Callithrix jacchus: one gene and its partners. The protein of the gene in region 2 interacts with the protein of the main gene of each other region in a biochemical or structural test. Links are inferred from orthologs where the notes say so. Each region holds a gene or a part of one and is shown on either strand. Other genes may lie near its edges.

Region 1 (7,486 bases), on a different chromosome or scaffold from region 2:
CTGGTGGAGAGACGGAGACCCTGGCAAAGGGATGGGGCAGGCAGAAGAAAAAGAAATGTGAGGCATGAGGAGAGGGCCAAAAATGGAAGACAGTGGAGAGAGGGAGTAACTCAGGGTGTCTTCCATCCATCCCCACATGAGTCAGCCCTGAGGTATTACAGAGAAGAAAATCTGGGCTGGGGCCAGATGTGGTGGCTCATGTCTATAATCCCACCAGCACTTTGGGATGCCAGGGAAGGCGGATCATTTGAGGTCAGAAATTCAAGACCAGCCTGGTCAACATGGCGAAACCCCATCTCTACTAAAACTACAAAAATTAGCCAGGCATGGTAGTGCACACCTGTAATCCCAGCTACAAGGGAGGCTGAGGCAGGAGAATCACTTGAACCCAGAGGGCAGAGGTTGCAGTGAGCCAAGACTGCACCACTGCACTCCAGCCAGGGTGACAGAGAGACTCCACCTCAAAAAAAAAAACCTCTGGGCTGGGCCTAGTGGCTCATGCCTGCAATTCTAACACTTTGGGAGCCTGAGGTAGGAGGATCGCTTGAGCCCAGCAGTTCGCAACCAGCCTGGGCAATATAGTGAGATCCCATCTCTACAAAAAGTACAAAATTAGCTGGGCATGCAGGCTTAAAGCTATAGTTTTAGTTACTCAGGAGGCAGAGGTGGGAGGACTGATAGGGCTCAGAAGCTCCCAGGATCAAGCAGTGCTCACACCTCAGCTTCCCAAGTAGCTGGGACTATAGATGTGTACTATCAGCACAGCTAATTTTTTTTGTTGGGGGGGTACAGAGTCTCACTATGTTGCCCAGGCTGGTCTTGAACTGCTGGCCTCATGCAATCCTCCTGCTTTGGCCTTCCAAAGTGCTGGGATTAAAGGCCTGAGTCACCAGGCCCAGCCCATATTTCTTTTTCTGTTATACCTCAAGGCTTCAATCCCAGCACTTTGATGTCTTGGGCTCAAGGGAGCCTCCAGCTTTTGCTTCTCAAAGTGTTGGAATTAGAGGCATGAGCTGAAGTGCCTGGCCCAGCCTCAGCTTTCCTTATCTGCACAGCACTGCCATCCGTCCAGGCACTTGTTCTTTATCTAAGCCTTCACATCAGATCCACCAGGTGGTGGCTCAGGCCTGTAATGCCAGAACTTTGGGAGGCTGAGGTGGGCAGATCACTTGAGGTCAGGAGTTCGAGAACAGCCTGGCCAACATGGAGAAATCCTGTCTCTACTAAAAACAGAAAACTCAGCCGGGTATGGTGGTGCGTGCCTGTAATCCCAGCTACTCAGAAGGCTGAGGCAGGAGAATCACTTGACCTTGCGGGGTGGAGGCTGTGGTGAGTTGAGATTGTGCCATTGTATTACAGCCTCGGCGACAGAGACACTTCATCTCAAAAAATATATAATAAGATTAAAAAAAAAAAAATCCACCCAGTAGTCCAACCTGACTGTCCTGTTCTCGCTGCTTGGCCCAGGTCACCATCATCTATCCCCTGGTAACTCTAAAAGCCTCCAGACAAGGTCCACTGATCTCTACCCTTGTCTCTCTCTACATCTGTTCCTAACTTTGCAGCCAAAATGCTAATGTCAAACTGTAAAGCATATTGTCATTTCTTTGCTCAAACCCTTATAATGGCTCTCCACTTGCCACAGAGTAAAACCTGAAATCTTTATAATGGCCAGGTGTGGTGGCTCAGCTCATGCCTGTAATCTCTGCACTTTGGGAGGCTGAGCTGGTAAAACTGCTTGGGCTTAGGAATTCCTGACCAGCGTGGTCAACATAATAAACCCCATCTGAGGCTGGGCACAGTGGCTCATGCCTGTAATCCTAGCACTTTGGGAGGCTAGGAGTTCAAGACCAGCCTGGCCAACATGGTAAAACCTATCGCTACTAAAAATACAAAAATTAGATGGGTATGGTGGCGGACGCCTATAATTGCAGCTACTAGGGAGGTTGAGGCAGGAGAATCACTTGAACCCGAGAGGCAGAGGTTGCAGTGAGCAAAGATCATGTCACTGTACTCCAGCCTGGGTGACAGAGCAAGACTCCTTCTCAAAAAAAAAAAAAAGAAAAAAGAAAAAGAAGATAAAATCCTTTTAATGTCCTACAAAGCCCTTCAAAATTTGCCTTCTCCCATTACATCTCTGACTGCCTTTCCTTCCTGCTTCCACTTTGATCCAGACACATATTCCTTCAGGCTGCCCCTTCAACTTGCCAGGCATACTCTTGTCTAATAGCCTTTACTCCATTCCCTCTGCCTGGAATGTTCTTCCAGAATGCCTGATTGCCTGTCTGCCCTGACCACCCTATTTAACTCTGCACTCTGCCCTCAGAGTGGGAGCAGCCCACTTTTTCTTTTCTTTTTTTGAATGAATGCCACTTTTTCTTTTCTATAGCATTTAACATCTGGGTTGGGTGCAATGGCTCACGCCTGTAATCCCAGCACTTTGAAAGGCCAAGGCGGGTAGATCACAAGGTCAAGAGATTGACACCATCCTGGCCAACATGGTGAAACCCTGTCTCTACTAAAAATATGAAAATTAGCTGGGCGTGGTGGCATGTGCCTATAGTCCCAGCTACTTGGGAGGCTGAGGCAGGAGAATCACTTGAACCCAGGAGGCAGAGGTTGCAGTGAGCCACTGTACTCCAGCCTGGCAACAAAGTGAGACTCCATCTCAAAAAAACAAAAAAACCTTCTAATTCGTTGTATCGTTTCTTATTGTTTATTACCCCCACCACACACCATATAGACAGGGCTCTTTATTTGCTTTTTATTTTTTTGAGATGGAATTCACTCCTGTTGCCTAGGCTGGAGTGCAGTGGTGCGATCTTGGCTCACTGCAACCTCTGCCTTCCGGGTTCAAGCGATTCTCCTGCCTCAGCCTCCCAAGTGGCTGGTATTACAGGCATGTGCCAGCACAGCAGGCTAATTTTCCTATTTTCTTTTTTTTTTGAGACAGAGTCTTGCTCTGTCGCCAGGCGCCAGGTTGGAGTGCAGTGGCGCAATCTCGGCTCACTGCAACCTCTGCCTCGTGGGTTCAAGTGATTCTCCTGCCTCAGCCTCCCGAGTAGCTGGGATTACAGGCATGAGCCACCGTGCTCGGCCTAATTTTTGTATTTTTAGTATAGATGGGGTTTCGCCATGTTCCTCAGGCTGGTCTCGAACTCCTGACCTCTGGTGATCCGCCTGCCTCGGCCTCCCAAAGTGCTGGGATTACAGGCGTGAGCCATCATGCCCAGCTGACAGGGCACTTTATTATGTTCACTAATGTATTCCAGGATCCCAGCCTGGGACATCATAAATATTTGTTAAGTAGATGAATTAGTTGTAAGGTTTAGAGATGTTGGTACTCGGTAACTACTAGTTATTGCTGTTATTAAGAAAATATGTCACAGGTCCAAACTTCGAGCCTACACTGCAGTTAAAAGCAAAGTAGACCAGGTGCAGTGGCTCACGCCTGCAATTTGGGAGGCCGAGGTGGGAAGATCACCAGAGGTCAGGAGTTCAAGACCACCCTGGTCAACGTGGCAAGATCCCATTTTTTTGTAAAATCACAAAAATTAGCAGAACATGGGGGTGGCCACCTGTAGTCCCAGCTACTTGGGAGGCTGAGGTGGGAGAACCATTTGAACCCAGGAGGTAGAGGTTACAGTGAACCGAGATCATGTCACTGCACTCCAGCCTGGGCGCCTGAGGGAGACTCCAGTCTTAAAAAAACAACAAAATGGAGCCAAGCAAGGTAGCTCACTCCAGTAATCCCAGCACTTTGGGAGACAGAGGAAGGTGGATCACTTGAGGATGGGAGTTTGAAACAGCTTGCTTAACATAGTGAGACCCCCATCTCTGCAAAAAATTGAAAAATTAGCCTGGCATGGTGGACCTGTCATCCCAGCTACTTAAGAGGCTGAGGTGGGAGGATCACTTGAGCCTAGGAGTTCCATAGCAGCGTGGGCAACAGACAGAAACCCTGTCTCAAGGAAAAAAAAAAAAAAGTCAAGTGGCACACTGGAGCTGGACATTAGGAAGATTAACATCAATACTGTTCAGGAATAGTACAGGTGGTAGGGTGGGGCTGTGCTGGAAGGATGGGAAGAGGGAGGCCGAAGAAGAAACTGGTTCTTTTCAAACCATCCCTGGTCTCCTCCCCAACTTTTTAAAGTCTTATCTATAGGGAACACAATTATTCGAGACATACTCTGTGCCTGGCGCCGCGTTTATAAGAGGCGGTCGTGTCCCACTTCCCTGGCGAACTCTTACGAATCCTTCAATACCCGGCGGTACCCTCTGTCAGTAAAGGCTCATAAAACACGCTACAGTCACAGGATCTCCTCAGATCAGTGGAGGCGGCAGGAAGGCGTCCCAGGGGAGGATTAACTTGAGCGGGATCCCAGCAGAGAAGCAGGTCGAAAATCCCCGGGGAGCGCGAAAGGAGGCTCAGAGAGCCCACCTCATCTCCTGCAACATCTCTCCAATGCAGACACACACACGGGGTCCCCACGAGCACGGACACACAACCAACCGTCTTGTTTCTAGTCCCCACAAGGGACCTTCAAAGGGTCTCCTCCAGAGTACCACTCAGACCCGCCCCCGCCAGCCGAACGCTGGGAGCAGGAAAACTCTGGCCGCCGCCAAGACGCCGCTCACCCGGCGCTGGGCGCCATCTTGGCCCCGCCCCCTCCTAGGAGCAGGTCCTGGCAGAGCGGAAGTCCAAATCGCTACCGCTTCCCCGTGCCAGAATACGTTCTCTGGACTCACGGAATGAAATTATATTTTAAAATTTTGTTTAAACATCTACATATAAGAAGAATTCCGTCTTGGTTGAATTACTGCAAATTATTCCTTCACTACCCGGCTGCCAGGACCTTGAAGAGGCGCCACAAAACGGAGGCGGAGAAACTCAGAGCAATGAGGCCCCGCCCCCTACCGAGCTGATTCTGCTCGTGCGCCGACCTTGCCAGGCTGGATTTAAGGTTGCCGCCAGCCGCCTGGGCATTTAAAGGACCCACTGCCTTCCCGAAGTTGGTTTGAAAGCAAGCGATGGTTGTTTGTGGATGGCGCTTTGTCATGGGACCTATGTGGTTGGGAATATTGCTTTTCCTTTTGGCCGTGCACGGGGCTTGGGCTGGGAAGCCGAAGGAAGAGGACGATGACACAGAACGTTTGCCCAGCAAATGCGAAGGTATCTGAAGGGGGTAGCCCCTGTTGGCATCGCCCGGCCACACCTCCTTCTTCTAGGCCGGACCTCTTGGACTGTATTGGGTGGGTCACCTGAACTCCTTGAAAGCTTGAGGGAGGTTCTGGTGGAGCTTGGCTGAATTTGAATGGATGGGGTCAAGGAAGCAAACGTGTAGTGCCGCCCCAAAGCTATGGCACTGCACTTCCCAGGAGGCATTCAAAGAGAGCCTGCATTTTTTTGGTTGACTTGGACCCCCCCGCCCCCCCCCAATGGATTGTGGGAATTGTAGTTCAGGGACCATTGGCCCTGGACTGCCAACTTTAGAGCATCTTCAGTGCGTGTTTCCCGTCACCAGACCTTAATCTGCAGAGGCTGCAGGAGCTCTGTGAGGCTCAGGCCTTGTGGACATCTGCTGCCCCACCCTAGCATAGACGCTCCCAAATTACAGGCCCCACGACCCCTGACGGGGTTTGAGGGTGAGTAATTCTGCCCTTCAAGCTCAAAAACAACAGGAGGCCACACGACTAGGGGAGGTTCCCCATCCGGGTGAGACTTTGCAGACGGTGTGTACTATGTGGATTTTTCAGCAAGCAGCACTTTCCGTAGCTGCACTAGTGTGGGGCCCAGTTGAGAAAGGGGGCACTTCAGAGCTGGCCCTGATCCCCTAGTTTGCTGCCCTCCTGACTTCACGTTTCTTCCCTGGATTCTTGAGGGAAGAAACGTAAAGTCAGGAAAGGTGGTCATGATACTCTCATGACGTAGTCCTCATCTCTGTCTCTTTTCACCTCCGTGTCCCACTCTTCTCCCCTGACCTGTCAGCCTTTTTAAACACAGACTTAATCACCTAATTGTATCAGTCCTTGCTTTAAAACCTCTGCAGGCCTTTGATCAGAATACAGCCAAAGGGGCTGCACACAGTAGCTCACATCTGTAATCCCAGCACTTTGGAAGGCCAAAGTAGGAGGAATACTTGAGCCCATGAGTTCAGGACCAGCTTCACCATATCTTGTCATCCTAGGTTTTTCTGTCCCAACTACACTGACGGAGACCCGTAGATAGATATAATAGGTCTTAATGCTGTCTGTATTGTTAGTGTGAATGCAGAAGGAGCTCAATAACTGCAGGATAACAGTGAATACATATACAGTGCTCACTATGTGCCAGCCTTTATATATGTTGGTTTCTTTAATCCTCATCACACTCCTATGAGGGACAGACTATTATCCCATTTTATTTATATATACGTATATGTGTGTGTCTGTGTGTGTAATTTTTTTTTTTTAGATAGAGTCTCACTCTGTCACCCAGGCTGGAATGCAGTGGTGCCATCTTGGCTCACTACAACCTCAGCCTCCTGAGTAACTGAGATTGCAGGCATCTGCCACCATGCCAACTAATTTCTTTTGTATTTTTAGTAGAGAGGGAGTTTTACCATCTTGGCCAGGCTGGTCTTGAACCCCTGACTTTGTGATCCAGCCACCTTGGCCTCCCAAAGTGCTGGGATGACAGGTGTAAGCTGCTGTGCCCAGCATTTTATTCTTGAGACAAGAGCCTTACGCTGTTACCCAGGCTGGAATGCTGTGGCAAAAATCTCAGCTCATTGCAACCTCCTGTGTCTCCTGCCTCAGCCTCCCAAGTAGCTGGGATTACAGGCGCCTGCCATCACACTTGGCTAATTTGTATATTTTTAGTAGAGATGGGGTTTCACCATGTTGCCCAGGTAGGTCTCGAACTTCTGACCTTGTGATCCGACCACCTTAGCCTCCCAGAGTGCTGGGATGACAGGTGTGAGCCACTGCGCCCGGCCTGTATATGTTGATTTAATACTCATCACACCCCTATGAGGGACAGATGATTCTTATCCCATTTTATTTATTTTTAACATATTTTACTTTTTTTGAGACAGAGTCTCCCTCTATTGTCCAGGCTGGAGTGCAGTGGCAGGATCTCAGCTCATTGCAACCTCCGCCTGCTGGGTTCAAGTGATTCTCCTGCCTCAGTCTCCGGAGTAGCTGGGATTACAGGTGTGTACTACCACACCTGGCTAGTTTTTATATTTTTAATAGAGATGGGGTTTCACCATGTTGGCCAGGCTGGTCTTGAACTCCTCAAGTGATCCACCCACTTCAGCCTCCCAAAGCGCTGGGATTACAGGCATGAGCCACCATGCCTGGCCTATTATCCCATTTTAGAGATGAAGAAATAGAGGCACAGCAAGTAGCAAGATTGTCACACAGCTGCTAAATGGCTGAGCCAGGATTCCAACCCAGCCAGTTTGGCTCAAGTATGCACTTGAATGTTCTGCTGCCTCAGGTC
Region 2 (7,702 bases):
GGCATGTGGTTTACAAAAAGAACCTGAGCTTTGAATTTCAGAGTAGACAGCCTGTGTTTCGGTAACTATGTAGTCCTGAGCAAATCCCTTAAACAATTTCAAGTCACACTTTACTCTCTGAGAAATAAGGATGTTATCAACTACCTCAGTGAAATTGTTGTCATTAATAAGAATGTAATTAAAGTGCTTAGGAAGGACAGCTTCCATATCAACTTAACATGTTCCAAACTAAAAATGGTGAGGCTATCCACACAGATTAAATCAAGTTAAATTTCGCTAGTCCACAGGGAATTTTTTTTTTTATTTCTTTTAATAGAGACAGGGTCTCGCTATGTTGCCCAAGCTAGAGTTCAGTGGTGTGACTCAGCTCAAAGCAGACTCAAGCTTCTGGGCTCAAGCAATCCTTCCATCTCAGCTTCCCCAGTAGGCTGGGGTGCATACCACCATGACTGACTAATTTTTGTATTTTTTGTAGAGAGAGGGTTTCACTGTTTTGCCCAGGCTGGTCTTGAACTTCTGGGCTCAAGGGATCCACCCATCTTGGGGGCTTCCTAAAGTGCTGGGATTACAGGTGTGAGCCACCACAGCCAGCCCACAGGATAATTATTTTTTTTTTTGAGATAGGGTCTCGCTCTCTTACCTAGGCTGGAGTGCAGTGGCGCAAGCTTGGCTCACTGCAACCTCTGCCTCATGGGTTCAAGTGATCCTCCTGCCACAGCCTCCCGAGTAGCTGGGACTACAGGCATGCAACACCACACCCACATAATTTTGGAATTTTTAGTAAAGACAGGGTTTCACCATCTTGGCCAGGCTCCACAGGATAATTTTTAACAGAGACATCCCATTCAACTATTTCAATGGGGAATCATATTCTGTTGTTAATACTAGTTTCAACTGACCTTTTTATTTGAAATCAGTGGTTATCAACCCTAACAGATTTAATATCCTTTTTATAAGAAATATTTTGATATCCACAGTACCACACTACAAGGAAACTCTACACACCAATCTATAATCAATCTATGCACATATTTTGGGAGGAAAATATAAGGCCCATCTTGCAACATAGGAAAATTAAAAGAAAATATGTACTTTTGGTTATGAATACTCAGGTACGACTATATTCAATAAGATACAGCAAAGTAGCACCTAGATACAAATCTGTGAACCTAGAGCACTTCCTGTTACCCCAGGGCTTAAGGATGCCTGGCAAGTGCCTGGGCTCAACACCAAAGTAGTACCACAGCATACTACTGGACACACTTTTTCTCCTTTTCAGTTTGATCTATACATTGTACTTGAACCCAGTTTTGTTTTTTATTGTTTTACATCTTCAACAGTTGTCAGAACACAACATATGGCTTCAGAAACATTCAACGAAGAATGGCAGAAAAATGTCAACATAACCTGTTTACAGGATTATTTCCTACTATTGTATTCTCCTTACCCGCCCATACATGCCATGCCGCAGATTAAATTCTCAAGCCTGGTTGTAAGGCACAATCATCTAGGGAACATTTTAAGAATACTGACACTGGGCCCTATTCCCAAAGATTTTGTCTCAGGTGACCTGGAGGGGCCAGATTAGGCATCACACAATTTCTTAAAGCTCTTTAGGTGACTCTGCTATGTGAAAGTGCCTACTATATATCCTGCCAATGCCCATCCTGCATGGAGAGGGCCCTGTACCAGTTAATGCTGAGCCTGTTTCCTTTGCCTAAAACACCCTAGGAAGCCATGAGGACTAAAGGGAGTGAGTCAAGGATTCTACAATCCAACAGTTTTGGAGTTTAAATCCCAGTTCCAGCATTTCTTAGCCCCCCCTGACCCCAGAAAATTCTCAGACTCAGTTTCTTCATATATAAAAAGTAAGCAGGTCAGGTGCAGTGGCTAATGCCTGTAACTGCACACCTTGGGAGGCCAAGGTGGGAGGACTGTTTGAGCCCAGAAGTTCAAGACCAGTCCAGGCAACAGAGTAAGACCCCATGTCTCCAAAAATTTAAAAACTTAGACGGGTATGATGCCATGTACCTGTAGTACCAGTTGAGGTAGATCAACTGAGCCAGGAGGTCAAGGCTGCATTGACCCATAATTTTGCCACTGCACTCCAGCCTAGGTGACAGGGCATGACCCTAAAAAAAAAAAAGAGTGATTAACGGTGCCCTGTTCATACAGTTAATGTGTGAACTCAGTGAGATAATTAATGCAAAGTGTTCTACCATCAGGGCTGGCATAAGAGTTCAATGAAGTATTGGTATTTGTAATAAATCCCCTATTTAGAAAAGTGACTCTTATAGCAGCATGAGGAATGGACTCAAGTGAGTGAAGGTGGAGGCACTGTGGAAGTATTGGGGGTATAGTAAGAAAACCTAAACTAAGGAAGAAGGCAAAAAATTGCAAGAAGAGAACAGAATGAATGAGTTATTACAGAAAAAAAGTCAAAAGGACCCAACAAAATATACTGCATACAGAGTATGAGAGTAGGAAAAATCTTAAATAGCTCTGTTTTGAGCCAGCATACCTAGGAAGGGAAAAGTACTGACATGAGTAATAGGTGACACCTGACGAGGAGCAGATTTGGAAGAAATAAGGAAATCACTTTTAGAAGTGTCTCTGAGGAAATACCATAGGATATTCCTCTGAATATTCCCAGCAGGTAGCAGAACAAATGAAAACTAGAGCTCAGGAATGAAATGAAGCTGTGCCGCCTTGTTCAAAATCTCCGCATTCTGAAATCCTCCTTCCTGACCACTGCTTTCTCTCCTCCACCACCTCCCACTCACGCTGAATCTCCTTACTCAATCTCTAGATGTCTTAGGTAAGAGTTCTCAAACTGGCAGCCCCCCACGCATTGTTTCACCCAAAGAACGTTTCAAAAATTTTCTGAATTAGTTGTCAACATTAAAATATTTTAAGAGCTCACATACATTTCAACTTCCAGCTCCTCTTGAAAAATTGAAAATATCTGAGGAAAAATAAAACCCATGTTCCGACATGAAAACAATAAGCTGAAGCCGAATAGCAGCTGGCATTATTAGGGAAGGAGTTTGGCTGGTCTCTGGAGACTTGTGAGTATGGGACCACCCAGGACCTTTGTTTCTTCCTTTGATCTTCACAGTCCATGAGTCATCTCCCAGCCTCACGTCCCTACCCCAGTCCAGACCCTCGTGTATTTTAATCATATAAACATTTAAGGACTACTGTGCATCAACCAGGCACGGAGCTACAGAAACAAAGTTGAAAAGAATGCACCCTCTGCCCTCTGTCTACCCTGTCAGCCTCATATCCAGCCACACTAGCATATTCTCAATTCCATAAGCCACATGTGCTTTCCCTACTTCCCAGGCCTTTGCACATGCTGTTCCTTCTGCCCCTACAGCTAAGCCCAAACTCCCTTCTCTTAATCATCCTTCAAGTCTCAAAAAACATTTCCTCATAGAGGCAGGTCTTCCCAGACTCCCCATAGTAGCATACAAGTATCCCCTTTCACATGTTCCATGGCTCTTTCCCCTTCTTGTACTTTCTCCGTCTCTATACCTAAGACCAGACTTTATCTTGTTCAGCAATTAATTTCCAGCCTCTAGCATAGCCAGACAAGCCCTTCCATAAAACTTTCCATATGTCTCCTAGGCACGTGTTGTTCCAACATGGCTCATTTTGCCAGCTTCCCCGCACTTCATTTCCTCCACACTCTTGCTTCCACAGCAGAATCAGACAGGCTATTTATTGGACACTCTCTTCTTAGATTTAAAATAGTTTTAAGCGGGAGGTGAGTGGATCAAATTCCCGATGTTAAAAGGCTGCGCTGACTGCATAGTGGAGAACAAAACGAGAAAAGAGTGGATGCGGAGAGTATAGTTAGGTTACTTCAGTATACCACTACTCCAGTTCTAGAACAACTTTGATTCTACACATCTAACTGCGGTTTTCTGTTACTATATTTCATGGCACTTTGCACGCCTTCACACACATAGCGGCAGACTACCGCGAAACCTTAGGATCCAACTGCCCTACATGAGACGCGTTCGGTGATGTGCACGCCTCCCCAGTGCGAGACTGCGAGACCCCAAGACCCCAAACTCCCTCAGACTCTCCCAGTTGGGTCCAGGGCCACACTCGAGGCAGCCAAGCCCGGCCTAACCGAGGTCGCACACGGGCCGCTCCGGGTCAACGGTTCTTTAGAGGACCAAGGCAAGAGGGTAACTCATTAGGGGAGGATAATTAAGAGGGTGCGAAAGGAAGGAGAAATCATAAAATGCAATGCCCGGCCAGGGAACTCCGAACAAGGAACAGGGAACAAGGTTTACCAAAGCGAATCCTCGAACACTCCCACTACAGCCGCCCTCAGAGCTTCAACTACCGGCTTAAATGAGCCACGCCCTTGTGCGACAAAGAAAACGCATCTTTTCTGCGACTAGCTTTGGAAAACACCCCGATACCTTTTACCACACCAGCCAATCAGCTCAGTGAAGCCTTCGATCAGGCGAGTCACGCTACTAGCGGCCAATGAAATTGAAGGCTCTGTCCTCCATGCCCAACTCTGATTGGCTTATAATCCCGGAACAGGCGTTAACCCAGAGAAGGCAGTGGCAAGATGGCCTCCCTGGATCGAGTGAAGGTACTGGTGTTGGGAGACTCAGGTGAGAGGCTAAACTCATGTCTGGGACTCCAGACACTTTTGACTTATCCAATAACCCTCCCCTTAACTTTCTTCCCTCAATTTCCTGGCTCTTCGGCACGGGTCTGAAGTCCCTCCCAAGGCCTGAAGACTACACTTCCCAGAGGACTTTGCTCCGTGTGACGACGAGGCAGCGGCGGCGCGCGGGAGGGGGTCGCGGAGCTTGGGCCTTCTGCCTTCGCGGCTTTCCACATCGGTTTCCCAGGCGACACCAACCTAGCGTGTATTTTCAATTTAAAAAAAAAAAAAAAAGGCAGGCATTGTGTATTGCATCCGGTTCTGTGTTAAGGCTACAGAAGTTAGTAGAACAAAAAGTTAGAGATTTTGTTCATTAAGGAAGTCAAACGTTCATTGAGAAACGTGCACTGGCAAGCGCTTGGCATACGCTAACTCATTTAATTCTGAGGTCAGTCCTATTACCCATTTTACAGGTGAGAGTAGTGAGGCAGAGAGATGTAAATGACAGAATCCTTTTGAACACAGAGTCTACATACTTAGACGCTAAACTATAATTATGCAATGAAATACTGGGTAATGGTCCTGTTTTATTGTTAACTGAGCTTTTTATTTCCTTGTTTGGTCTTCATTGAAAACCTATTACTAGAGAAAGTAAAGAGTTTTATTCTGAAGCAGCAAGGATTTAATGCTGAGCCCAGTTTAATCCTAGCGTTAAAATTCTTTTTTCTTTTTATTTTTTTCTTTTATTTATTTTTTTTAATGAGTCCAAAAGTAACCGTTTACTGGTTACTAAAGGACTCTCTTTTTTATTTTTTAATCTCAATGGATGCAACCTGAGGTCGGGAGTTCAAGACCAGCCTGACCAACATGGTAAAACCCCCTCTTAAAAACATAAATGAAAGAAAGAAGGAAGGAAGGAAGGAAGGGAGGAAGGGAGGGAGGGAGGGAGGGAGGGAGGGAGGGAATTCTTTTGACACCTGGGACATTTGAGAACTACAGCTGACGCTGACATCTGCATTTCCAGCTCCCACCTCACTGCCCTTATCTTTTCCTCCATAATTCAAATAATTCAACTCCTTAAGAACTTCAATAAAATGCTAACTTTGCATTTTATGGATGTGCGGTTCTAGAGTTGGCCTAAGAGCGTGTGTTGTGAGCAAAGACATTGTGCTAGATGCTTGGAGGTGGAGAGGCCTAAAAACTACTCTTACAGAAACTAAATAAAATTGTGGCAGGCAAAGATATATTAAGGATGTTTTCACATTGCCCTGAATATTATTTACATTATGAAATATTTTACAGAGAGAATTATTTAATATTCCCCTAAGAAAGTTGCCTTTGAAACTCTATGAACATAACCACAATTTATGTCAACTTCATTTCTTTGTCAGGTAGCTTGAAGTGGTGCCAAAGTTAATTTAATAAAATCACTCAGTTTTACAGATAAAAAAAGTAATGGTGGCCTAAAGGGACTTGGCAAGAGTATTACCAAGTAGAATTTAAGACTGGAATTGAGAACTAACAGACTTCTTCATGATGTGTGAAGTGGGTGTTTTCTGTCCTCTATAATTCCATTTTCTGTTGTATCTAACAATCCCTTCATATTACAAACTGCTGCAACTAGTCAATTTATTTTCTTTCCAACATGCACTGTTTTAGGTTCTGGGGTTATAACTCTGGAATTAATGCATTATATAACAGGGGTAGGATTAGCTGCTACATTAAATGTGGAAAAGTAACCAGGCAATTAGTAAGCTTTCCCACTACCGCCCTTCCCCTTATGGTTTAGTTGTAAAGCAGAAGACACAGCTATGACAGCCAGGAAAGTGATTGATGTTGTCACACATTTGCTAATGTTAAGCTTTATGTGCAAGTTTAGTTACTGTCTTTTAATCTTTTTAAAAGGTAATTTTGTCAGTCTCCTTTTAACTGCAATTTAAAAGTACACGATCTGACAGCTTAGAATATGCTTTTTACACTTCCTTGGCCTTTGGTTCAAACCCGAAAGCTTATTTTTTAATAAAGGCCATTTTCCTCATAAAATTTTGAGTTTCACAAATATATAAAGAAATGACTTAGCCAGGCAAGGTGGGTTTTGCCTGTAATCCCAGCACTTTGGGAGGTTCAGGTGGGTGGATTGCTTGAGCTCAGGAGTTCAAGACCAGCCTGGGCAACATAGCTAGACCCTGTCTCTACCAAAAACAATACAGAAAGTTAGTCGGGCATGGTGGTGTATGCCTGTAGTCCCAGCTATTTGGGAGGCTGAGGTGAGAGGATCGCTTGAGCCCAGGGATTTGAGGCTGCAGTGACCTAGGATGGTGCCACTTCACTCTAGCCTGGGTGATAGAGTGAGACCCTGTCTCAAAGAAAAAAATGTGTTTGGAGATTTGTTTTGTATCCTATAGAGATACTTGGTAATTTGGTAAGGAACCCTAAAAGTCTCACTACCATATGGTTTTCTCTTCCTTTCAGAGATTAGGGACTAGTTTAACATATTATCAAACATCTATATTTGGAGGTGACATTTATTTATATTGGCCTTTTCCCCCGAAGCAAATCAAGTGCATTCTTTTGATCAAATTTAGTTCTAAAGATGAAAACATAAAATCAGAATCTCCCCAAATTTTTAAAGAAATGAAGTTAGTCATTATTCCTTAGCACTTCAGCTGTTCTTACTGTTTAGGGTTTCATCTTTAAAAAAGATGAAAAGCCAACTCCATGATATTGTTGAGGTGCAACATGACCTTCAGGCTCAAGTGTGTGACTGGTGCCAGTGTAACCCCCATGAAAGTTATTTGTCAATACATATCATGAACTTTAAATGTTTCCTTTGAAGTACTGAGTTTACTTCTGGGAAGGTATACTAAGGACATAATTTTAATTTTAAAGGTTTAAACAGAAATAACTTTTCAGTAGCATATCAAAAATTACAAAACACCTTATATACTTAATAATGGAAGAATGGTTAAGTAAATTTTTATGCCTATTCTCTGAAGTACTATGGAGATATTTTAAATGTTTATGAATATTCTGGAATAATATGGAAACTTTTAGTCAATAAATACT
Region 3 (6,848 bases), on a different chromosome or scaffold from region 2:
AAAAAGGAAATAGATTCTATCAATTTATATACAATTCTGAGACCCAAAACAATGCCGTACATTGTTATTCATCTTACTACATGTATTCTTACAAAATAGCAGCATAAAATCACAGAAAGATACACACAATTTCATAAGAGTCATTTCCCTTTGGGGAGAATGAAAAGGAAAAAAATAGAAATAAAATGAAGTATTTAGGGGTGGATCCTCTGGCCAGGTGCAGTGGCTCATGCCTATAATCCCAGCACTTTTGGAAACCGAAGTGGGCAGATCACTTGAGGTCAGGAATTCGAAGCCAGCCTGGCCAACATGGTGAAACCCCATCTCTGCTAAAAATATAAAAAATCAGGGAGTCACAGTGGCTCAGGTCTGTTGTCCTGGCGCACAAGGAGGCGAGTCTATGTGTTCAAGGCCAACCTGAGCAACACAAAAACCTCTCATCAGTATAACCAAAAAATAAAAATAAAATTTAAGGCCAGGCGCAGTGGCTATGCCTGTGATCCCAGCATTGTGGGAGGCCGAGGTGAGCTGATTACAAGGTCAGGAGTTTGAGACCAGCCTGGGCAACAGTGAAACCCCATCTCTATTGCAGATAAATTAGACAGGCATGGTGGTGTAAGCCTGTAGTCCCAGCCACTTGGAAGGCTGACACAGGAGAAGCACTTGAACCTGGGAGGGAGAGGTTGCAGTGAGCCAAGATGGCACCACTGCACTCCAGCCTGGGCAACAGAGCAAGACTCCATTTCAAAAGAAAAAAAAAAAAAAGCCAGGTGTAGTGGTGCGTTCCCATAATCCCAGCTGTTCGGGAAGTGAATTGCCTGACCCTGGGAGGCAGAAGTTGCAGTGAGCCGGGAGTATACCACTGCACTCCACCCTGAGTGTCACTGAGACTTTGTCCTCTCCTCAGAAAAAAGGTTGAAGGGGAACCTCAATTTTATCTGTAATGTTTTCTTTAGTACATCATATTTGTTAAGTTTGGGTAGTATTTACTTTACCACTACTAACATTTCTATTTTTTTCTTTCCTTGAGATGGAGTTTCACTCTTGTTGCCCAGGCTGGAGTGCAGTGGCTCGATCTCAGCTCACCGCAACCTCCGCCTCCTGGGTTCAAGTGATTCTCCTGCCTCAGCCTCCCGAGTAGCTGGGATTATAGGCACGTGCCACCACGCCTGGCTAATTTTGTATTATTATTATTATTATTATTTTTTTTTTTTTTTTGAGACGGAGTTTCGCTCTTGTTACCCAGGCTGGAGTGCAAAGGCGCAATCTCGGCTCATCGCTACCTCCGCCTCCTGGGTTCAGGCAATTCTCCTGCCTCAGCCTCCCGAGTAGCTGGGATTACAGGGGCGCACCACCACGCCCAGCTAATTTTTTTTGTATTTTTAGTAGAGACGGGGTTTCACCATGTTGACCAGGATGGTCTCGATCTCTTGACCTCGTGATCCACCCGCCTCGGCCTCCCAAAGTGCTGGGATTACAGGCTTGAGCCACCGTGCCTGGCCCTATTTTTTTTTTTTTTTTTTTTTTTAGTAGAGACAGGGTTTCTCCATGTTGGTCAGATTGGTCTCGAACTTCTGACCTCAGGTGATCGGCCCGCCTTGGCCTCCCCAAGTACTGGGATTACAGGTGTGAGCCACCATGCCTGGCCTACCTTTCTATTTTTAAACACTACCAAGGCTACTACAGATTTGTGATGCTATATGGGCCAGATCTTCAAAATAACTGGTAATAATTTGCATTAAGTTTTCCTTAATGCATTTTTTTTTTGACAGGCGAAGACACTGAAATGTGTTCATCCCTAATGCATTTTCAATTCTACATTTCAAGCGAATTGAACTTTTCTCACTTTTGCACTCTACTCAGAAAAAAACAGAATTTTTATTTTAAAATACATTTAATAAAAATAACCCATAGTTTTACATATTTTACATGTGTAGAATATTTACAAAATCACTTCTACAGCATTTACTTAATGTTTACTATTTTTCTATTATTTGCCTTTTTGACTATTTCTTTCAGTAGTAAAATGTTGTCTAGTGTTCTCTTTAAAAAATCAGTTTCTTGGGCAATCCTCCTAGAAAGCAAAAGAAAAAAAAAAGTTGTTCACATTTAACAAAGTTCACATTCTCACAGCAATTTTAACCAGTCACTGCTTCCACCTACATTATTTTATTTCGCTGACACATTTTTCCAATAGCACTTGTTAAGCATTTAGCATACAGTTGACAGATGGGATTTATGAAGGGAACAAGGTACACATAGAGAGTTCTCATAATTCTGAGGTATATGTAAAAGTGCCTGAAGTATTCTCAATGAAAGTAAACATACCTAAAACAGCACAGTCTCTCTACTTTCTACAATTTAAATTTGTAGAAATTAAATAGCTAGCAAGCTACACTTCTTTGCTGTTGTTCAGTTGCTAGACATACATGAGCTATTTGGAGTTTTCTGAATTCATTTAATTTCTTATAAAAGTGGGAATCTTACCTTGTTCCAAGGCATCTGTTCTTTTCCTTTTTGTCGCCAAAGCTGGATTTGATTGCTCCTTTAAGGTTTCCACTGGACAGTTTGGTCTTGGCAACTGACATCCAGGTGTTGGCCCTGGCCGATTACTGAAATACTTCATTTTCAGTGCCTTTTAAAAGAAAAGATATCAAAAGTAAGGTAGGTGAGTACCTCAAATGTGTGAAGGAAAATCTCACCCTCAAGATTATAGGGAGCATTAAAAATACTATGTAAACGCCCTCATTCCCAAAAACAAAACACAATGTCAAGTATTTGCAAATGTAAATTACTAAAAATAAACATCTAGGATCCTAAGATTGGTTGATAATTCCATTACTATAAGAAAAAGACTGTTCAGGCATGGTGGCTCACGCCTGTAATCCCAGTACTTTGGGAGGCCGAGGTGGGCAGATCACATGAGGTCAGGAGTTTGAGATCAGCCTGGCCAACATGGTGAAACCTCGTCTCCACTAAAAATACAAAAATTAGCTGGGTGTGGTGGTACACATCTGTAGTCCCCCCGCAACTTGGGAGGCTGAGGCAGGAAAATCATTTGAACCCGGGAGGTGAAGGTTGCAGTGAGCTGAGATTACACCCTTGCACTCCAGCCTGGGTGACAGAGCAAAGCTCTACTTCAGAATAAAAGAAAAGAAAAAGAGACTCCCTTCTAATTTTTCCTTAATTAAATAGCCTACTCAGGCTGAATATCTCTTACCTGAAATTCTTGGGCCCAGAACTGCTTCAGATTTTGGACTGTGGAATATTTGCATATACATGAGAGATCTTGGGGATGGGACCCAAGATTAAAAATGAAATTTATGTTTCACATACAGCTTATACATATAAACTGAAGGCAATTTTATACAATATTTTTAATTTGACAAACTTTCTGTTAATGTCCTTATGTGTGGAATTTTCCACTGGTGGCATCACATCAGCATTCAAAAAGTTTTGGATTTTGGAGCATTTCAGATTTTGGATATTTGAATTAGGGTTGCTCAACCTAAACTAATTATGAGCTACCCTAAGTGAAATATTATATATTTCCATTTTCTACATATTGAGCTCTACAGTTCAAAATGCAAAGAGAGAAACTTAAAAAAATCTTACAAGTTTGCCACACTATCCATATATGTTCAAATTCCAAGTCATGTAAAATATAAATTCTTAAAAAATAAGGCTTTTAAAAAAATACAGGTTAGAACCAATGGATTCTAATTCAACAATCCACTGCAAATGGACAGAAATTTTACTTGGAAGGGCTTGTCCAAGATTATTTCTATTAATTACCAGGCCAATGTTCTATGATATATTTTCTTTTTTTCCCCTACTATAGTGCTGTAGATATGACAGTTTCTTGAGTTGGGTCCACAATTCTGATAAAAAATAGTTATGTTCTAAATGACAAGTTTGTCAGGTCATGCTTGTCTTTTTAATTTTGTTTTTTTTTTTGATAGAGTCTCACTCTGTCACCCAGGCTGGAGTTCAGTGGTGCAATCTCAGCTCACTGCAACCTCTGCCTCCTGGGTTCACATGCTTGTCTATTTACATGCAGCATAGTGCTGTCCAGTGGTCACAGTGATTTAAAATACTTCTGGCCAGGCACGGTGGCTCATGCCTGTAATCCCAGCACTTCGAGAGGCCAAGGCGGATGGATCACCTGAGATCAAGAGTTCAGACCAACCTGGCCAACATGGTGAAACCCTGTCTCTACTAAAAATACAGAATTAGTTGGGTGTGGTGGTATGCGCTTGTAATCCCAGCTACAGGGAAGTTGAGGTAGGAGAATCACTTGAACCTGGGAGCTGATGGTTTCAGAGAGTCAAGATCACACCACTGCACTCCAGCCTGGGTGACAGCGCAAGACTTGGTCAAATAAATAAATAAATAAATAAAATGAATTACTTCCTTTAGGATAATCCTTTAAGAAAGAAGAATGAAGCCCATATAAACTTTTCAAGCATTCCCCACTGTCACCAATATTATATTATTTTCAGTAATTTAGAGATTTCTACTTCAACGGTTGCATTTTTTATTTTTATTTATTTATTTATTGCAGAGCTGATGTCATGTTGCCCAGGGCTCCAACTCCTGGGCTCAAGCTATCCTTGCTCCTTGGCCTCCCAAAGTGCTGGGATTACAAGTGTGAGCCACTGCACCTGGCCCACAGTTGGATTTTTAAAGCATTACTTCTAAATCACAGTGGTCTTATATGCAAATTAGGCTAATTCTGGGCGACACGATAAAGATCTAAGAAAGTAACTCATTCCAACTTTAATAAAGACATCCATGATACAAAAACTCACTTTAAAAACTTCATCCTATTAAAATACAACCCAAATATAACAACTAGTATTTTTCTATAAGTTTCAAACTATACTCCCAATGAAAACAACTTACTAGATAATTAAATGTGGTCTCAGGTTTATTATGATGGAAATTATATACATAGAAGTATGAGCGAAAAGGCAACAAATTACTTGTCTTAAATTAGAAGAGCATGTGTACATATGGACATAAAAATAACAAAAATTTTTTTTAAAATTAGAAGAGTAATTCTAATGGTAAATACGCAGCATCCATCCATCCATCCATCCATCCATCCATCCATCCATCCATCCATCTATCCATTTCTATATACACATAGCATGTATTGCTAAAAAGAGAAGGCTTATACAAGCAAATGCATTAAACAATGATTTTGTAGCTGGAACAAACCTAAGGGGGGGGAATCTATTTTGTATCCTTAATATTACTGTACATTAATATGTTTCCATAAAGGCTTCTGATACTTCACTTTAGTCTCTCCCTTCATCAGGTAAAAATCACTGCACTGTGTTGTACAGTGCTCTGCTATAAGTTATTCTAGGCCCTCCAAATTTTTCATGAGTTTCATTGTTTTCTCCTTTAAATAGCAGTTGGTTTCAGTTTTTGAGTATCTTTCAAGCTCTTGTAAGCATACAATCATATCTGATTATACCATTTTCTGAATGTGAAAATGACCAGTATGCATACCCAGATTACATTATATAGGGAAGAAAAAATAAGCTGAATAAATTACTTTCAGCATTAGGCTTGCTACAAGATTGAAATGAATTTTTAAGAGTGCAACTGAAAAAATAAACAGTTTTCAGTTTCTTAACAAATAAAAAGCCTTGGTTTTCCTTTCCTCTCCAGGTAAAGTATTTACAAACCAATTATATGAAATAGATATGTATTTATATGTTCCTAAGCAAGTGTATTAAGTGTAAGCTCTCCTATATCTCTGTGTGCATATAACTTAATCTCAGTCTTAACAGTGTTTGCTGTTTGGGGAAAAAATACAAAGTTTGTTATTTCCTAAAACAAACAAAAACACATCTTTTCCAGTATTTAAAAAAGGTTAATTTTATGAAATTCTATTTTTATCAATGCTACAGTTAAGATTATTTTTATATTTCCTAGTATAAAAAAAGATACGGTAAAATACCTGTGTGGCCGTAATTCGAGCACATGGATTAAATAAGAATAAGCCTTGTATGAGATCTAATAAGTCGTCTCCTGCTGCACTGAAGATATGATGCAATGGAATTCCAGGAAAACTCTTAAATGTCACATAATCTGGAAGACTACACATGTCCTGTAAAAATAATTTTATAATTCAAACTGAAGGTTGAAATCCATGTAGATCTCAAATGAAATAAATCGTATTTTCAGGTGATATGATGGTTTATATAGAAAATTCCAAGAAATCTATTGAAAAGTCCTAGAACTACTAGTAAGGCAAGGCTGGAAGGATACAAAATGAAAATTAAACCAATTTTAATTCATTATACTAGCAATGAATGTGTGGACATCAAAATTAAAAACACAGTACTATTTAAAATTACCCCAAAAAGAAAAATAATACAGGTGAAAAATGTAACAAAACATGTATATAGGGTAATATACTAGAAGCTATACAATGCTAATGAAACAAATCCAAAGATCTCAATAAATGGTGAAACATACCACGTTCACATATTGGAATATTCAACAGAGGAAGGATGTTAATCCCCCTCAAATTGATTTGCAAGTTAGATGTAATTTTTATCAAAATCCTGGCAAAATTATTTTAGATATAAGACCAATTATTCTACAATATATAAAGGCAAAGGACTACAGTAGCTAAAATTATTTTGAAAAAGAACAAGAAAGTGGGAGGACTCATACCTGATTTCAAGATTTAACATATAGCTACTTTAATTAAGACTGTGTTGTACTGGGGGAGAAATAGATACACAAATCAGACTTAGAAAGGACTTAATCAATAAAGGAACCCAATAAAAAAGGACTTAGAAATCCACACAAATCTGCCAAAAGGA
Region 4 (7,770 bases), on a different chromosome or scaffold from region 2:
GTTGCAGACTGGAGTGCAGTGGCTTGGATCTTGGCTCACTGCAACCTCTGCCTCCCAGGTTCAAGCGATTCCCTGCCTCAGCCTCCTGAGTAGCTGGGACTACAGGCACACACCACTACTCCCAGGTAGTTTTCTGTATTTTAGTACAGATGGGGTTTCACCATGTTGGCCAGGATGGTCTCGATCTCCTGACTTCGTGATCCACCCGCCTCGGCTTCCCAAAGTGCTGGGATTACAGGCTTGAGCCACCGCGCCCAGCCTCTTTTCTTCTCTAGCCTTTTCATCAGCCATTTTTCTCTCCCAATCTGTGCACGCGCGCATACACACACACACACACACACACACACACACACACACACCATACATTTTAAAGCCTCCCATGACCCAGAGGCGAAGGCCAAGTTTCCAATCTTTAAAGTCCATTCCTGGGGTGCTCTAGGCTACCTTGCTGCTCTTCTCCCATGGTCTCATATTTCTTTTTGTTGTTGTTGTTGTTATTTGGTCTTTATTTCATAATCATAAACTTAACTCTGCAATCCAGCTAGGCATGGAAGGGAACAAGGAAAACGTGGAACCCAAAGGGAACTGCAGCGCACAGATTCTAGGACACTGCGAGCAAATGGGGTGGAGGGTGCTCTCCTGAGCTACAGAAGGAATGGTCTGGTGGTTCAGGTAAAATACAAGTCAAACTGACTAAAGTTGTCCACAGTCGGCAGTGGTGATCTTCTTGCTGGTCTTGCCATTCCTGGACCCACAGCGCTCCATGGCCTCCACAATATTCATGCCTCTTTCACCTTGCCGGAGACCACATGCTTGCCATCCAATCACTCAGTCTTGACAGTCAGATGAAAAACTGGGAACCGTTTGTGTTGGGTCCAGCATTTGCCATGGATAAGATGCCGGGACCTGTGTGCTTTAGGATGAAGTTGTCATTATCAAATTTCTCCCTGTAGATGGACTTGCCACCAGTGCCATTATGGCGTGTGAAGTCACCACCCTGACACATAAACCCTGGAATAATTCTGTGAAAGCAGGAACGCTTATAACCAAATCCTTTCTCTCCAGGGCTCAGAGCACGAAAGTTTTCTGCTGTCTTTGGAAACTTGTCTGCAAACAGCTCGAAGGAGACATGGCCCAAGGGCTCACGTAGACGGCAATGTGGAAGAACACGGTGGGGTTGACCATGGCTGATACTACAAGGCTCCAGGCGGTGGCGGGGTCTGCAAAGCCTCATATTTCAATTTATTCCTTCTACTTGATTAAAGCTTAGAGCAGTTCCTTTCACCCACTTACCCTTTATATGTTTTAGGCCCTTTCCCAAGTTGTTGCACAAGAAGAAATCTTCATTTTCTACTTAAATTTTTTTTCTTTTTCTTGTTTTTAGAGATGGGGGTCTTGCTATGTTGACCAGGCTGGTCTCGAACTCCTGACCTCGTGATCCACCCGCCTCGGCCTCCCAAAGTGCTTGGAATACAGGCATGAGCCACCACACATGGCCGAAACTTTCATTTTCAACACACTCCCAGTCTCTCCCATCTTTCCTATTAGTTTTGCTAGCTAATTGTAGAGTTCTGACAGCTTTTCCTGGCCCTATGCTGAACATACGTAAAATTTCCTCAATTTTGTTCATGGCTCTGATGTATGACTCAAAAAATTACTTGCCATTCTTAACAATACCTTATTGTTTCTCTTCAGCGAATGTTCTTTCAACCAAAGCCTACTGAAATCTGACGATGTATCAAACACTGTACTAGACATTGTGGAGATAAAATGAATAAAGCACTATTTTTTATTTGTCAATTATACCTCAATAAGGCTCTTTTTGCCTAGGACCAGTTCATAGTCTGGAAAGCAAAGGCAGACATGTAAACATACATATTACAGTGCAGAGTGCTAAGTATCACAGCGTGATGTGAAGAAAAACTAATTTCTTCCGGGGGAGTTGATAAAAGGTGTCACAGGAAGTGACATTTCCGTTGGTCTTGAACTACAAGTAGGAGTTTGGCAACCAGAGGACAGGGGTGGGAATGAGGGTAGGGGTAAAACAGGGCATCTGAGGGAAGGGAATCCAGTGTGCAGAGGCTCTGAAATGACCGAGGAAGATTCTGACGTGTTCAGGAAAGTCTGCTGGGTTTGGTGTGGTTGGGTGGGTGGTGGAGTGATGGGTGGTGGTGGAGGGCCCAGTTGAAGCAGAAGGGTTGAATTTTATTCCAGAGGCAAGAAGAGAAAGAGAACATCGTTTACGCAGGGGAGGAAACGACCAAGTTTGTCTCTTACTTGTTCATTTCTTCACAGACCTCCGGGTTTTGGAGTCTGAGGTGCTCTGCTCGCTTAATCAGAAGAGCTCAGGCAGCCTCCGAGCTGAAACACCGCTTTCTTTTCAGGTCTAGAAACGGCATGTGTTCAGTACCAGGGCTACCCAGTCTGATCCCAGTGCCCACCTGTGCTAATGACGTTGGCCAAGGACGCCCATTTGCTACCCAGATCCTGCCCTTCAAATACTGTCTCTCTCTCTCTCTCCTCTCTCTGGCTAGGACTGGACATGTTCTGACAGCTCTTGTCTCTTTGAACCCCATTTTTTCATTCTGATAATCTTTTTCTTCAGTTATGCTGACCTTGTCTTTAAATACATTGCTAACGTTTTGGCTCATCCCAACCAAGTTTCAATCCCTCTGATAGACATCGCTGACAGCCACGCCCACCCGAGAAATTGCCGACACAGGAAGTTTGTCCGCAACAGGGCGCCGTACTGACGTAGTAATACGCAGGCGCAATCCCAGCTCCCGGCGGCGTGTTCCCCTTTCCGCGGGTTTCCGGTGTCCGGGCCGGTGAGAAACGCCGGCTCTTCACCTCTCAGCGCGGCTTAGCGCTTTGCTCCGGACGTTCGCTCCGCAGCCCTCCGGCTCCTGGGGTCGCTGCTACAGCCCGCGCGCCTCCACCAGCGGCAGACCCATGGCCGAGCGCGGGGAACTCGATCTGACCGGCGCCAAACAGAACACGGGAGTGTGGCTTGTCAAGGTAACGTTCGCTGCGCGCTCCTCCCAACACGAGTATAGTTTAAGTAACTTGAACCCATCCGGCTGCGTGCGCCTCTTAAAGTTCTTTTACGGCTGTCTCGTTAGAGCTTCACGTACTTTGAGAGGCAGGAGGCATTGCTGTATGTTTGCAGATGAGGAAATCCGTTTAGGCGCGCCAGTTACGAGTCTGAATCCACCTGGACTCGTCTCTTCTTCTCACGGCTTTCCTGGAGCCTCGTCCTGATGTCCCCGGTTTGGACGGTGCATTTTATCTAGGACCGAAGAATTCCTTGTGTCTTCTCTTGGTGAAACTGCTTTTAGCCATGAGCCTGTGTGGGGTAGTTGAATGTCTGTTTTCTGTACATTTTTCTCGGCGAGAAAGTAGAACCGGTCCATGCGTACCCTTAAAGTGTTGTGTTAGGTTGATGGTCCTTAATGGAGCTCCGAAAAGAGGCGAGACAGCTCTCAACTCGCAGGAGACGTCATTGGACTGGGATATTCTTTGTTTTTTTTTTTTTTTTTTTTTTTTTTTTTGAGACAGAGTTTCACTCTTGTTACCCAGGCTGGCGTGCAATGGCGCGATCTCGGCTCACCGCAACCTCCGCCTCCTGGGTTCAAACAATTCTCCTGCCTCAGCCTCCTGAGTAGCTGGAATTACAGGCACGCGCCACCGTGCCCAGCTAATTTTTTGTATTTTTAGTAGAGACGGGGTTTCACCATGTTGACCAGGATGGTCTCGATCTCTTGACCTCGTGATCCACCCGCCTCGGCCTCCCAAAGTGCTGGGATTATAGGCGTGAGCCGCCGCGCCCGGCCTGGAATATTCTTTTAGAGCACAATTGGGTCTCGTGAAACTGACCATCAGTAAGTGTTTTACGTAAAGACAGCGATTTTGGTTAGCTCACAGTGGGCACTACTCGTGCTTCACTGTTTCATGTTGGGGAGTGTTGTCTCCTAGGGGAGGCTCATAATACTTAGGCATATTCGACATGTGATCCTGAAACTCATTGAAACTTAAAATGTAGGGACTTTTGGTTTCTTAATGCTTTCGCTTATTTTATCACATGGCTGAGTTCTCGTCAATTATATCTAAGCGGTCTTCCTTGTCGGTCTTCCTAAAAGAGCTCCCTTATGATCATTTGCTAACATGACATATCCATGTTACATTCCTCAAAGCACTTTTCACGGTGTAGAGTGATTTTGTGTTAATATGTGAAAAGTTGGTTACCTTCGTCTTTCCAACACAAAATTGCATTCCGTGAGAACAGGATCTTTGCCTGTTTACCCAGAATAGTGTTTGGCACATGGTAATTATTCAACAAACAGGTGATGAATAAATGCCTGACCTCTCACTCTTCAACCCTTGCCTTAGTCTGTGGCACTCATTTGACTTATTTCAAAGCTCAGTATGACTTAAAAGAATGGATTAAATAGGCCGGGCACGGTGGCTCAAGCCTGTAATCCCAGCAGTTTGGGAGGCCGAGGCGGGTGGATCACGAGGTCAAGAGATCGAGACCATCCTGGTCAACATGGTGAAACCCCGTCTCTACTAAAAAAAAAAATCAAAAAATTAGCTGGGCATGGTAGCGCGTGCCTGTAATCTCAGCTACTCAGGAGGCTGAGGCAGGAGAATTGCCTGAACCTAGGAGGTGGAGGTTGCGGTGAGCCGAGATCGCACCATTGCACTCCAGCCTGGGTAACAAGAGCGAAGCTCCGTCTCAAAAAAAAAAAAGAATGGATTAAATAGGCATTTCTCGCTCCAGCAGCATGTTAATTGGAGGAGAGTCACTAAGGAAGAGATGATCCTTGCAGACTGAAGGAAAAAGCTTGAAAACATAGTGTGACTGGAGATGGTGCCGTTGTCCTAGGAGCATGGTAAATGCTCAATGTTTGCCTTACATGATTTGGATGGGTAGACATGGTGTATACCATGGGGAGTGGAACAGAAATGCAAGACTCAAAATACGTAATCGTGGAAAACATGGCATGTTTTGGCATGTTGTGGAAAACAGACCCTAGAGCAGAAGATCTGTGTAAATAAAGGTTGGGCCCATATACTCAGACTGTCATGTCATGAAGTGGAAATGTTCTAACTTTAGTTTACAAGGAAGTAACAAACTTTTTGGAGGACTTGAGTGAGGTAGCGACGCCAGGTATTCAGAAAAAAAATGTTTGGCAGTGTGCAGTACGAATTAGAGAGGAGGGCAACCAGAGTCACAATTAGAAAATTATCACAGGATTGGGCTGGGCCTGGTGGCTCACGCCTATAATCCCAGCACTTTGGGAGGCTGAGGTGGGCAGATCACGAGGTCAGGAGTTTGAGACCAGCCTGGCCGATATGGTGAAACCTTGTCTCTACTAAAAATACAAAAATTAGCCAGACATAATGGCACATGCCTGTGGTCCTAGCTACTCGGGAGGCTGAGGCAGAAAAATCGCTTGAACCGTGGAGGTGAAGGTTGCAGTGAACCAAGATCGTGCCACTGCACTGTAGCTTGGGCGACAGAGAGATTCTGTCTCAAAAAAAAAAAAAAAAAAATCACAGGATGCTAGGTACATGATAATGAAGCTTAGGAGTTAGGGAAACTTTGAGTAAAATTGTCAGGATTTGCTGACTCACTCAGAAAAAGAACTCGAGCAAAGTAATTATAATGTTTTGATTACTTTTTGTTTGCAGCCTCATTGCTTCTCATACCAATTTGGCATGCAGTATTTCTTCTTTTTCTAATCTTACCTATCAAAGAAGTGAAGAAACATGCAAATGCATCTTTTTAGGGTGTGAAGAGGGTGTGGTAGATCTTGTGCCCAAACAACCTTATCTCTGGAGGATGAGAATTACTAGCAAATACTTTTTTTTTTCCTTTTTAAGACAGGATCTTACTCTGTTTTCCAGGCTGGAATGCAGTGGTGCCATCACAGCTCACTGCAACCTCTGCCTCTGGGCTCAAGCGATCCTTCCACCTCAGCCTCCTGACTACCTGGGCTTACAGGTGCACACCACCACACCTGGCTAATTTTTTTTTGCTATGTTTTGTAGAGACGGGGTTTTGCCATGTTGCTCAGCTAGGCTGGTCTTTTTTTTTTTTGAGACAGAGTCTCACTCTGTCGCCAGGTGCCAGGCTGGAGTGCAGTGGCACAATCTCAGCTCACTGCAACCTCCACCTCCTGCGTTCAAGCAGTTCTCCTGCCTCAGCCTCCTGAGTAGCTGGGACTACAGGCACATGCCACCACATCCAGCTAATTTTTGTATTTTTAGTAGAGACGGGGTTTCACCATGTTGGCCAGGATGGTCTTGATCTCTTGACCTCATGATCTGCCTGCCTCGGCCTCCCAAAGTGCTGGGATTACAGGCATGAGCCACTGAACTTGGCTAGTGAATACCTTTTGTTCTAAAATCTATTCATGTTACCCCTTTACTTGACAACATTTATCTGTGTTCTAAAGTAGTACTAATAGGCAATGGGGTTTGGTATACACACCTGTCAGATAGTTTGAACTTGCTACATTTGCACTGGGGTTAGCATTCAGTGTGATTTCCATGCCTGTATCTTCAGTGTACTTGGATTTTCATTTCTGAATTATAGGAATATATTATATGAAACAGTACATCAAATTGTGTTAGTCTACTTCATTTTCAGCATGTGTGTGATATTAAAGTGTAACTTGAGCCGTGCGTGGTGGCTCATGCCTGCAATCCTAGCACTTTGGGAGGCTGAGGCAGGTGGATCACCTGAGGTCGGGAGTTAGAGACCAGCCTGGCCAACATGGTGAAACCCCATCTCTACTAAAAATACAAAAATTCGCTGGCCATAATTGTGGGCACCTGTAATCTCAGCAACTCGGGAGGATTGTTTGAACCCAGGAGGCAGAGGTTGCAGTGAGCTGAGATTGTGGCATTGAGCTACAGCCTAGGCAACAGAGCAAAAACTGTGTCTCAAAAAATAAAAATAGAAATGAAGTGTAACTCATTGCCTACAAAGTGTATCTTAATTCTCATCTAATCAGAATTTGAATTGAACTACATATTGATTTCAAGTTTTTTCTCTTTACATTAATATTTTCTGTTATAAATAATACTTTGTGCTTTGTGTTCTGATCTTTGTTGCTAAGTAATGTTTCTTCCTAGGATATCTCAAAAGTTTATAGGTCATCTTGTACATATTTAATTATATCACTAGACAGGTATAGAACTCTGAATACAGTAAGGACTTACATACAAGATCTCTGAGAGGTTTGAGCAGGAAAAAAGTTTATGCTTCGCTAGAACTGGGAAGACGTCATAGAGAAGGTGACATTTAAGAAAAGCCTGGGGGGTGGGGAGTTGGGGAGAGATCGCATGGGGAGAAATGCCAGATATAGGTGAAGGGGAGGAAGGCAGCAAATCACACTGCCATGTGTGTACCTATACAACAATCTTGCATGTTCTTCACATGTACCCCAAAACCTAAAATGCAAAAAAAAAAAAAAAAAAAAAAAAAGCCTATCTGGAGCTTGCAGCAAGTCAAGAATGTGCCATTGCACTCCAGCCTGGGCGACAGAGTGACACGCTGTTTCAAAAAAAAAAGGCCGGGCGCGGTGGCTCAAGCCTGTAATCCCAGCACTTTGGGAGGCCGAGGTGGGTGGATCACGAGGTCAAGAGATCTAGACCATCCTGGGCAACACGGTGAAACCCTGTCTCTACTAAACATAGAAAAAATTAGCTGGGCATGGTGGCGCATGCCTGTAATCCCAGCTACTCGGGAGGCTGAGGCAG

Evidence for each region.
Region 1: the proteins of GTF2E1 (region 2) and TAF6 form a complex in vitro, tested with the Homo sapiens proteins (2 studies listed by BioGRID). The link is inferred for Callithrix jacchus from reciprocal best matches to the Homo sapiens genes GTF2E1 and TAF6.
Region 3: of the proteins of GTF2E1 (region 2) and CDK7, one has a biochemical effect on the other in vitro, tested with the Homo sapiens proteins (3 studies listed by BioGRID, with this or other methods). The link is inferred for Callithrix jacchus from reciprocal best matches to the Homo sapiens genes GTF2E1 and CDK7.
Region 4: the proteins of GTF2E1 (region 2) and GTF2F2 form a complex in vitro, tested with the Homo sapiens proteins (2 studies listed by BioGRID). The link is inferred for Callithrix jacchus from reciprocal best matches to the Homo sapiens genes GTF2E1 and GTF2F2.

Annotation. Positions count from the first base shown.
Region 1 is NC_133503.1:13,463,934-13,471,419, reverse strand, and holds the start of TAF6 (transcription initiation factor TFIID subunit 6), read right to left. Parts: upstream 4,675-7,486; 5' UTR 4,190-4,674; intron 21-4,189; 5' UTR 1-20. Other genes in the region: CNPY4 (protein canopy homolog 4), read left to right, coding at 5,141-5,173, 7,077-7,194. UniProt on the Homo sapiens protein: The TFIID basal transcription factor complex plays a major role in the initiation of RNA polymerase II (Pol II)-dependent transcription.
Region 2 is NC_133516.1:82,239,032-82,246,733, forward strand, and holds the start of GTF2E1 (general transcription factor IIE subunit 1), read right to left. Parts: upstream 4,359-7,702; 5' UTR 4,308-4,358; intron 2,133-4,307; 5' UTR 2,032-2,132; intron 1-2,031. Other genes in the region: RABL3 (rab-like protein 3), read left to right, coding at 4,595-4,640.
Region 3 is NC_133503.1:140,267,386-140,274,233, forward strand, and holds the end of CDK7 (cyclin-dependent kinase 7), read right to left. Parts: intron 6,125-6,848; coding exon 5,975-6,124; intron 2,636-5,974; coding exon 2,488-2,635; intron 2,075-2,487; coding exon 2,046-2,074; 3' UTR 1,876-2,045; downstream 1-1,875. UniProt on the Homo sapiens protein: Serine/threonine kinase involved in cell cycle control and in RNA polymerase II-mediated RNA transcription. Cyclin-dependent kinases (CDKs) are activated by the binding to a cyclin and mediate the progression through the cell cycle.
Region 4 is NC_133506.1:164,325,983-164,333,752, forward strand, and holds the start of GTF2F2 (general transcription factor IIF subunit 2), read left to right. Parts: upstream 1-2,807; 5' UTR 2,808-2,952; coding exon 2,953-3,018; intron 3,019-7,770. UniProt on the Homo sapiens protein: TFIIF is a general transcription initiation factor that binds to RNA polymerase II and helps to recruit it to the initiation complex in collaboration with TFIIB.